3 linked regions of the Callithrix jacchus genome follow. The protein of the gene in region 1 interacts with the protein of each later gene in a pairwise test. Links are inferred from orthologs where the notes say so. Each region holds a gene or a part of one and is shown in the gene's direction. Other genes may lie near its edges. The genes, in order: CLTC, ATPase PAAT and AP2B1.

Region 1 (3,653 bases):
TCTCTTGAGGAGGCCTGGAGAGAAAACTTACACACAGTGATGTCGGTTATTTGTTGGGAATCTACCTGCTGATATCACGGAAGATGAATTCAGAAGACTATTTGTTAAATATGGAGAACCTGGAAAAGATTTAATCAACAAAGGCAAAGGATTCGGATTTATTAAGCCTGAATCCAGAGCTTTGGCTGAAATTGCCAAAGCTGAGCTCGATGATACGCCCATGAGAGGTAGACAGCTTCGAGTTCGCTTTGCCACACATGCTGCTGCCCTTTTTGTTCATAATCTTTCACCTTACGTTTCCAGTGAACTGTTGGAAGAAGCCTTCAGCCAGTTTGGTCCTATTGAAAGGGCTGTTGTAATAGTGGATGATCGTGGAAGATCTACAGGGAAAGGCATTGTTGAATTTGCTTCTAAACCAGCAGCAAGAAAGGCATTTGAACGATGCAGTGAAGATGTTTTCTTGCTGACAACAACTCCTCGTCCAGTCATCGTGGAACCACTTGAACAGCTAGCTGATGAAGATGGTCTTCCTGAAAAACTTGCGCAGAAGAATCCGATGTATCAAAAGGAGAAACTCCTCGTTTTGCCCAGCATGGCACATTTGAGTACGAATATTCTCAGCGATGGAAGTCGTTGGATGAAATGGAAAAACAGCAAAGAGAACAAATGAAAAAAATATGAAGGATGCAAAAGACAAATTGGAAAGTGAAATGGAAGATGCCTATCATGAACATAGGCAAATCTTTTGCACCAAGATCTGATGAGACAACAGGAAGAATTAAGACGCATGGAAGAACTTCATAATCAAGAAATGCAGAAACGTAAAGAAATGCAATTGAGGCAAGAGGAGGAACTACATAGAAGAGAGGAAGAGATGATGATTCGTCAGCGTGAGATGAAAGAACAAATGAGGCGCCAAAGAGAGGAAAGTTATAGCCGAATGGGCTACATGGATCCAAGAGAAAGAGACATGAGAATGGGTGGCGGAGGAGCAATGAACATGGGAGATCCCTATGGTTCAGGAGGCCAGAAATTTCCACCTCTAGGTGGTGGTGGTGGCATAGGTTATGAAGCTAATCCTGGAGTTCCACCAGCAACCATGAGTGGTTCCATGATAGGAAGTGACATGCGTACTGAGCACTTTGGGCAAGGAGGTGCGGGGCCTGTGGGTGGACAGGGTCCTAGAGGAATGGGGCCTGGAACTCCAGCAGGATATGGTAGAGGGAGAGAAGAGTACGAAGGCCCAAACAGAAAAACCCCGATTTTAGATGTGATATCTAGGCTTTCATTCCAGTTTGTTTTGTCTTTTGTTTAGATACCAATCTTTTAAATTCTGACATTTTAGTAAGAAAGCTATCTTTTTATGGATGTTAGTAGTTTATTGACCTAATATTTGTAAATGGTCTGTTTGGGCAGGTAAAATTATGTAATGCAGTTGTTTGAAACAGGATAATTTTTTTTCTTACTTCCTTATTTTTTCTTTTTTTACTGTATAATGTCCTTCAAGTTATGGCAGTGTACCTTGTGCCACTGAATTTCCAAAGTGTACCAATTTTTCTTTTTTTACTGTGCTTCAAATAAATAGAAAAATAGTTATTAAAAAAAAAAAAATACATGGGGGTGATAAAACAGGATAGTGGTTGCTCCTAAGTGTGGGGAGAGGGAAGAGATGCATACCGGAAGTGTGAGTCTTCCAATTCAGAGTTCTTCATATTGTTTATGTTATTGTTTTTCAAAAGTTCGTAAAAATAAAGGTCTATCTGTTTGATTCTATTCTGCTAGTATGTAATATCTTGAAATATTTTAGTTGTTTTTATCAGAACTCAAAGTAACTATGTTCTCTAGAAGACAAAATTTGTTCTTAAAGCATTTATAGTGTCCAAATAAATTCTCAGGTAAAGAAAGAGTTTGTGCATAATTTTGTCTACATACTTTCCATAGTATCTTTAAACAATTTCTTTTATCTCTTTTTTTGCAGATTGTAGATGTCTTTATGGAATACAATCTAATTCAGCAATGTACCGCATTCTTGCTTGATGCACTGAAGAATAATCGCCCATCTGAAGGTCCTTTACAGACGCGGTTACTTGAGATGAACCTTATGCATGCGCCTCAAGTATGTGTTCTAATGTTTTTTAGGCATGTTTCCAATATTGCTTTAATAATTGTGCAGAGCATCTCAGATTGTTATTCAAAGCTACTGAGATGCCTACTCCTTATACAAGAAAATTTAGCTATTATATATTCTTTTGTACTTTCTTTTATCAGTTCACTATTAAACCTTAATATGTAATATGGATATTGAATTACTCATATAAATGGGATGGACAATAAACTTACCTTATTTGTGGTTTTACAGGTTGCAGATGCTATTCTAGGCAATCAGATGTTCACGCATTATGACCGGGCTCATATCGCTCAGCTGTGTGAAAAGGCTGGCTTACTGCAGCGTGCATTAGAACACTTCACTGATTTATATGATATAAAACGTGCAGTGGTTCACACCCATCTTCTTAACCCTGAGGTATTTTAGTTTCTTACCTAATAGATGGTGTTAGTTGTGATTAATAGGCACACTGAAAATGTGTTTGTAGTACTAAATATTAATAATTTCATACCTCCATGAGTTTCAACATTGTTTCATTTATTCATTCATTCATTTATTTTGTCTTGTAGTGGTTAGTGAATTACTTTGGTTCCTTATCAGTAGAAGACTCTCTAGAATGTCTCAGAGCCATGCTGTCTGCCAATATTCGTCAGAATCTGCAGATCTGTGTTCAGGTGGCTTCTAAATATCATGAACAACTGTCAACTCAGTCTCTGATTGAACTTTTTGAATCTTTCAAGAGTTTTGAAGGTAATTAGGAGTTTTTGAGTTTGTAAAAAGTACTTAAGATAGCCAAGAAGAGGTATGCTTATGATCAGGCTATTGGAAATTTTGTCTTTCTAAAAATTTGGTTCTATGGGACATTTTAATTTTTTAAGTTTTGTTATTCAGTAAATGTTGCCAGGCGTGGTGTCTCATGCCTGTAATCCCAGCACTTTGGGAGGCCGAGGTAGGCAGATCACAAGGTCAGGAGATCGAGACCATCCTGGCCAACATGGTGAAACCCCATCTCTACTAAAAATATAAAAATTAGCTGGGCGTGGTGGTACGTGCCTATAATCCCAGCTACTCTGGAGGCTGAGGCAGGAGAGTTGCTTGAACCTGGGAGTCGGAGGTTGCAGTGAGCCAAGATTGCGCCACTGCATTCCAGCCTAGCGACGGAGTGAGACTCTGTTTCAGGGAAAAATAATAATAATAATAATAATGTCATCAAGGCCCTTTTATATTGGATCCTAAGGATATGCAGTGAACAAGACCATCTGTTTGGATATTTTATAGATGAATTAAAGGTAGAATTTTAAGAGAAAAATATGTAGTGATGTTTAAATTGTAAAAAGTGAAAATACAGGTTGAGTGTCCCTAATCTGAAAATCCAAAATGCATCAAAGTTCAAAACTTTTTGAGTTCAAAGGAAATGCTTGTTGGAGCATTTCAGAAATTGGATTTTCAGATTAGAGATGTTGATCAGGTAAACATAATGTGAATATTCCAAAGTTCAAAAATCTGAAACATGTCTGGTCCCAAGCATTTGGATAAGGGATACTCA
Region 2 (3,653 bases), on another chromosome or scaffold:
AGAATGAAATTAGAGAAGTTTCAAGCAAGAGAAGTTAAAGGGACTGGACTGTTGTCTTCAGCACGAAAAATATCAGGTTAACTGTTAGTGATGTCTTCAGAGTCTGGGGATAAGGTAATGAGTTGAAAGTCTTAAGCCCTGGATGTTAAATTCAGTTCTGCTGCTGACTAGTGGATTAGTCTTGGGCAGATCTTGGACCTATTTCATGGTTAAAATGAGGGAGCTGAAGAAAATCTTGGATTCCTTTTATCTCTAAAATTCTGTACTTATTATCATTACTTATAGAAGATTGAAACTTAGTTTTACAATAAGGAAAAATAAGTGATTTTTACAAGCAGATAGCAAACTCACAGAACTAATTATCCCAAGATGTTGTTTTGGGTAGTATATATTAAATAGCTTCAAAAGCCATTCGAGTAAAGTGATTTATTCATTCCACAAAGATTTGAGTGCTTCTTAATGTCAGGTACTATACCAGGCATTTAGGAATTAGTAATAAGAAAATAAACTGATGTCTTCCCTTATGTTGCTTGTATTCTTTCTAGTAGGGGCAAGACAGACAATAAGGAGACCCACTGAGTAAAACAAATACTATATTCAATGGTGAAAAAGGCTATGGGGTTAAAAAGAGAAAGGGGGGATAATAGGTTGAGGTGGGAGGTTAATAGGATATTTCCTTAAAATGTTGAAGACAGTTACATCTTTTCAACACTCAAGAGTTCTTGGATCATGAGTCTGTATTGACCTCTGTCCTTGTGTGACATGTGGATCTTTGTGTGTCTCTGAAGGTGAATTTTTTTTAACTGTTCTATGGGAGTACCTGGAAGCACAAAGGGTTATTTCAGGGAGACTCTAGGGTTGATATGAAAGCTTGTTCTGAGGCAATATGAAAGTTCAAATAAAAAAATGGTTACCAATACAGGTTTTTGAGCACTTACTTAGTGGTAGCTACTGGAAGTTTTAACATATAATCCTCACCACTATGTGAAATCATTGTTACTATCTTCTCTCATTTTAATACTGACTCAGATTTAGCATTTGCGCAGGGTTACACAGGTTGTAAGTACCAGAGTCACAATTTAAACTCAGGTTTGTCTGATTCTAAAGCCCATTCCCTTTCCATTTTGCTACTCTGTTGTCTGTATCACACATGAAATGTCTCTTGTTTCAGAAATATGGACAGGATAAAATGTTTGGTAAACTACTAGGCTAGAAGCCAGAAGAACTAGGTTTCAAGCTAGACCTTTACTAATTGAGTGTCCTTTTATCACCCTTGAACTCTATTTCTATGTATAGTCCAGCAAGCTGTATTACATCATTTTGATATTCTCTTATAGTTCTGAATTTGGAAGGATTGAATTTTACTTATTATTTCAGTAAACATTTTGTGTGGGCATCTGGACAACCTTATTTTGTGGTAAGTAGCAAGCTGTGGTATGTTAAGGTCTCAGATTGGTATATAGTAGTTCCCCCTTACCTGAAGTTTTACTTTCCACAGTTTGCATTACCCACCATCAACCGTGGTCCAAAAATATTAAATGAAAATTTTCAGAAATAAACAATTCATAAGTTTTAAATTGTGCTTTGTTTGGAATAGTGTGATGAAATCTATTGCTATCCTGCTCCGTTGTGCCTGGAACATGAATCATCCTTTTGTCTAGTGTGTCCCTGCCGTATATGTTACAGCTCATTAGCCACTTACTAGCCGAATGTATCATCAGAAGGTCAAGAGTAGCCTAGTGCTATGTTACAACGCCTATGCCATTTGCCTCACTTCATCTCGTTATGTAGGCATTGTATCATGTAACATCATTACAAGAAGGCTAAGTATCGCCCAGTAAGATTTAGAGAGAGGCGACCACATTCACATAAGTTTTATTATGTTGTCATAATTATTCTATTATTAAGCTCTTACTATACCTAATTTATAAATTAAATTTTATCATAGGTATGTATGTATGTGTGTATGGGAAAAAATATAGGGGTTGGTACTATATACAGTTTCAGGGAGCCACTGGAGGTCTTAGAACACATTCTCCACCGATAAAGAGAGACTACTATTTTATTTTTAGTTCTTTAAATAAGTTAACATTTATTTAACTACTCCGTTTGTTATTTTACATGAAGTCTTAGTTTTTGAAAGGACTTTTTTATTTAAATAGTTCATCTGAACCTCAATAAATAGTGTTCTAGAGAAGACTTTAAAATATACTTGAAGTTAATTTTTAGATTCTTGAATACTTCACTCTTGTTTAGGTGATACCAAGAAGTGATCATTGTTTTTAATATTATTTTCTGGACTTTTGTTTTGTAATAGTTGCTCTCCTTTGGCGAAAGGCAGTGTGTGTTCATCAGTAAAGTTGTGGTACACATGAGATCAGTTTTGGCAAGTTCTTCAACAAGTTCTCCTGCTCTAGGATCAAGGATAGACCTTCACAAGGTCCAAACCATAATGGAGTCCATGGGGTCAAAGTTATCTCCTGGAGCTCAGCAGTTGATGGATATGGTTAGGTTTCAGCAGCAGGTAAGTAGAAATGGAGTTCTTTCCAGATACTATTAAAGATTGCAAAATGATTGCTTTTAGTAACGAAATGTAGTGACTTAAAGTTTTTCTTTTATACTGATTTAACTGTTATCTTTTAGTTTTATGGAAGTTAACATCTTTATAGATTTGCCTTTCTACAGAGCGTTTTGACTACAAATTTTCACACTTTTTATGAATTCATTCAGCAAGTTGTTTGTTTGTTTGTTTGTTTGTTTCGCAGTGACCAAGGCACTGTTTTGAGCAATTTTGAGTGTGCAAAGATGATCAGTTAGTCTGTAATCTGTCTTTAAGAATTTTTACATTCTGGAGCATGTAAGTGGGGAATGATAAAGACACTAAGAAGGAAGGCTCATTAAAGAACGTGGTATTTTATCTAGGCCTTTAAAATGAAGAGTGGGATTAGGCAAGTACATTTGGAAGAAAGCCATTTCAGACGAAAAATAAGGTGAACTAAAATCTTCAATGCTAGAAGAATTTGATATAGTGGGGGAATGAGTAGTAGTTCATTTCTGTGAAGCAAAAAAGTAATAGGGGAAGTTTAGAGTAGATTTCAGCGAGATCATAAAGAGCTTTGAATGCTACTTTAAATTTGTAGATGTTTTCAAGAAATTTTAAGCCACTGTCATATGTAAGGTGAATCTGAAGAAAGTGAAACTACAAAAAAAGACTAGCTGCAGGTTATTCTCCTCATCCAGGTGAGAGTGAATGAGGGTCCAAGATTAGACATAGTAACGTAATGCTGGACTGTGAGATGTTAAAACAATGGAGCCATTGGGATTTGACAACTAACTTAATCCTGGTATTATGATAGAAAAATCAAGTTAAACATGAAATTGAGGCTTTAAGGATGGCAATACTAGTAATATAAATGCAGCCCAAAGGAGGAGGATGCTTGGAGGAAAAGGAATTTAATTTTGGCAATATTGAGTTTTAGCTGTGAATAAGACTTTCCCTGGAAGGATGTTGTGAACATCTAGAAACACAGGATTAGGGGAAATGGAATGAACCTTCAGTGGCTGGAAGCGGAGTTTAGGGATATATCCACAGTAACTAACAGGGAGTGTGGTGAAGGGAGGGACTGAAGCAAGGAAGAAAGACCCTTGGAGAG
Region 3 (3,653 bases), about 4.5 Mb from region 1:
AGAACCTATAACAAAGTATCAGTCTCATGCCGTTTCTGAAGTATTGTAGTTACTCTCATACAATATTTTTTTAAAAATCTACATTTTCACAAGTTTTTTAGATTGAACACTCTTAGTATTTGAAGCAAAAATACTTTTTTAGATTTGATTTTTGAAAACAAGTAATTAAGGAATCTGAAAGTGAAATAAGAGAAGGTTTTGTAAGCATCTTAAGCCTATGTTGCATTACACTCATAGAGATATCTTGTGCCAAAGCTTCTGATTGTTTTTTTGTTTTTTTTTTTTTTTGAGATAGAGTCTCAGTCTGTTGCCCAAGTGAGTGTGGTGGTGTGATCTCGGCTCACTGCAACCTCACTGCTTTTACAGTTTGGTGGTTTGGTTTAGGGTCCCTTGTTTGTGGTTTTGCCTTTAACCTTCACTATTAAATATAATTCTTAGTTTGGCTTTTAATAACCATAGTTCATTTTTTCACATCAGGTATGAAAGTATCATTGCCACTCTATGTGAGAACTTAGACTCACTAGATGAGCCAGATGCTCGAGCAGCTATGATTTGGATTGTGGGAGAATATGCTGAAAGAATTGACAATGCAGATGAGTTACTAGAAAGCTTCCTGGAGGGTTTTCACGATGAAAGCACCCAGGTAAGTTCTTATCTTTTGTCTATCCTGGTAGTTTTCTATGTCTTTGGGGAGATTGCAGAGAAAGCAAAGGTTATAGGCAGTTTCTTCTGTGTCTGTATTTATATATAGTGTGTTCATTTTTCTCCCAACAGGGATGTCCCTTTTCGGTTTAACTAATTTTTTTTTTTTAGTTGGCATCTTGCTCTATTGCCAAGGCTGGAGTGCAGTGGCACAATCTTGGCTCACTGCAACCTCTGCCTCCTGGGTTTAAGCAATTCTTCTGCCTCAGCCTCCTGAGTAGCTGTGACTATAGGCATGTATCACCACACCTGGCTAATTTTTGTATTTTTAGTGGAGACAAGGTTTTACCACGTTGGCCAGGCTGGTCCTGAACTCCTGACCTCAAGTGATCCACCTGCCTCGTCCTCCCAAAGTGCTGGAATTTTGGGTATGAGCCACTGTGCCTGGCCAGTTTTACTGATTTTTTTTTTTTTTTTTTTTTTTTTTTTTTTTTTTTTTTAGACAGAGTCTTGCTTAGGTGCCAGGCTGGAGTGCAGCAGTGCGATCTCAGCTCACTGCATCCTCCTCCTCTGGGTTCAAGTGATGCTCTTGCCTCAGCCTCCTGAGTAGCTGGGACTACAGGCATATGCCACCATGCCCAGCTAATTTTTGTGTTTTAGTAGAGACAGGGTTTCACCATGTTGGCCAGGAAGGTCTTGATCTCTTGACCTCGTGATCCACCCACCTCAGCGTCCCAAAGTGCTGGGATTACAGGCGTGAGCCACTACACCTGGCCTTTTTTTTTTTTTTAAACAGAGTTTTGCTCTTGTTGCCCGGGTTGGAGTGCAGTGGCACGATCTTGGCTCACTGCAGCCTCTGCCTCCTAGGTTCAAGTGATTCTCCCTCCTCAGCCTCCCAAGTAACTGGGATTACAGGCACCTGCCATCACACCTGGCTAATTTTTTGTATTTTTAGTAGAGACGGGTTTCACCACATTGGCCAGGCTGGTCTTGAACTCCTGACCTTAGTCGATCTGCCCACCTCGACCTCCAAAGTGCTCGGATTATAGGAGTGGTCCACCGCGCCTGGCCAGTTTTACTGATTTCTAATATTCAAAACCTATGTAACTCAGACCAGTACTTCTCAAACTTTAGTGAGCATTATTAACACCTGGGGGAGCTTTTTAAAGCACAAGTTGCTGGGCTTCAGCCTTAGAGTTTCTGGCTCAGTAGGTCTGAGATGTGCCTAAGTATTTGCATGTCTTACAAGGTCCAGGATGTTGCTGCCGCTACGGCTGGCAATACATAACCACTGGATTAGAGTAGTAGTTAACACTGCTTTTTTATTTTCTGTCACCTAAGAATGACTGCACATTTCTGTTAGTAATAGCTGTGGCTCATTATAGCAGGGATTTTCACTGGGGGCTGTGGTGAGTTTTGAAAAGATTATCTGTGGATGAAAATTCTGAGACTGCTTCTCACTTTCCCTTACCAAAATTAGAGCCATGGGACCGAGAAGCAGATAAATTATTAAGCCCTTTTTGTCTGTCATTTGTACTCAAAGCAAGTAGAAGATCATGTATATGATTTATCATAACAATTTTAATAGATCTAAATCAAGGAGTATGTACAAGTCAATAGCTTTGTGATTTAGCAGCCAACTCCTAATAGTCTGTAATCTGACATAATTCTACTGTCTTGGCTCTTGCCCCAGTATGACAGATGATTCCATAATTCCCCCCAAATTGTAGCTTTTGGTAGAAGTAAATAATAAAAGACTTGCTCAGGAGTCAGTTTTATCACCATCAGTATGTTAACATATACTTTAAGAAATACAGACCAGGCTCAGTTACTCTTGTCTGTAATCCCAGCACTTTGGGAGGCTGATGGCAAGAGAATCGCTTCAAGCCAGGAGTTTGAGACCAGCCCTGGCAACATTGCAAGACTACATCTCTACAAAAAGATACAAAAATTTACAAAAAAAAAAGAGGTTTGGTGGCTTGTACCTGTAGCCCCAGCTACTTGGGAAGCTGAGGCAGAAGGATTGCTTGAGCCCAGGAATTTGAGGCTACAATTCATAAATGTGCATCTGGGCAATAGAGGGAGACCTTGTCTCAAAATAATTAATAATAATAAGAAGAATAATAAACATAGGTAACTATCTGGCTTAGAAACAAGCAGTGTTTTGTGCCAAAAATGCATTTTGAGGATAGGAGGATAGAGTTTTCAGTTGAATACCTTTGTATTTCCCATGAATATTTTTGACTGCTATTGTTGATATTGATGAGTTTTAACCTTTTTTCTCTTAACCAACATCAGAAAGACTCCATAGTAATTCATAGTTGCGGAAACACCACTTTGGAGATGATGGCAGGTAATGATGCCAGTGCCATTCTTTCACTCTATCAAATTATCTGTTTAGGTGCAGCTCACTCTGCTTACTGCCATAGTGAAGCTGTTTCTCAAGAAACCATCAGAAACACAGGAGCTAGTCCAGCAGGTCTTGAGTTTGGCAACACAGGTAAGAAATCTGGAAAAAGTGAGGTGTTGATTTGTCTTGTTTCAAATTGTAGGAAATTATGACTCTTCCTAGGGGGTTCATTTGGGGAAGTTTTATTTGAAGGAAGTATGGCCTTTAGATCCTGTTAAAATGTTAAAACAATGCCTTTTAATGTGTTCAACTGAATTGTAGCTAATTGTATGGCTTTTAAATGAGTTGGCTGACTCCACTTTTCATAATTCATGAAAATTGAACATAGACTCTTAATGAAGGGCATACTTAGATGAAAATGACGTGTTCTGATACTACCAGCTTCTCTGTGACTTCATTTCAGCTTTCAAATGAAAGTACCATGTGGAAATAGGAGATGGCCTCAGCAAAGTTTCATGCATTGTTCTACCTTCCAGAGGGATTGCCTTTCTCTTGGAAATAATTTTAAAGTACTTATGCTGCTTCCTTGAATTATTTGATATATTTGGACCTGTTTGGAATTATTTGATTTTTTTGGTCAGAGGAAAAGAAGTTCAGATGG

What was found.
Region 2: the proteins of CLTC (region 1) and ATPase PAAT interact in binary tests that used the Homo sapiens proteins (3 or more experiments, as listed by UniProt). The link is inferred for Callithrix jacchus from reciprocal best matches to the Homo sapiens genes CLTC and C10orf88.
Region 3: the proteins of CLTC (region 1) and AP2B1 interact in a two-hybrid assay, tested with the Homo sapiens proteins (2 studies listed by BioGRID, with this or other methods). The link is inferred for Callithrix jacchus from reciprocal best matches to the Homo sapiens genes CLTC and AP2B1.

The regions. Positions count from the first base shown.
Region 1 is NC_133506.1:94,241,188-94,244,840, forward strand, and holds part of CLTC (clathrin heavy chain 1), read left to right. Parts: exon of another isoform or gene 1-1,609; intron 1,610-1,978; coding exon 1,979-2,116; intron 2,117-2,359; coding exon 2,360-2,524; intron 2,525-2,676; coding exon 2,677-2,857; intron 2,858-3,653. UniProt on the Homo sapiens protein: Clathrin is the major protein of the polyhedral coat of coated pits and vesicles. Two different adapter protein complexes link the clathrin lattice either to the plasma membrane or to the trans-Golgi network.
Region 2 is NC_133513.1:116,313,643-116,317,295, reverse strand, and holds part of ATPase PAAT, read left to right. Parts: intron 1-2,317; coding exon 2,318-2,524; intron 2,525-3,653. UniProt on the Homo sapiens protein: ATPase that regulates mitochondrial ABC transporters ABCB7, ABCB8/MITOSUR and ABCB10. Regulates mitochondrial ferric concentration and heme biosynthesis and plays a role in the maintenance of mitochondrial homeostasis and cell survival.
Region 3 is NC_133506.1:98,757,117-98,760,769, reverse strand, and holds part of AP2B1 (AP-2 complex subunit beta), read left to right. Parts: intron 1-477; coding exon 478-643; intron 644-3,043; coding exon 3,044-3,142; intron 3,143-3,653. UniProt on the Homo sapiens protein: Component of the adaptor protein complex 2 (AP-2). Adaptor protein complexes function in protein transport via transport vesicles in different membrane traffic pathways.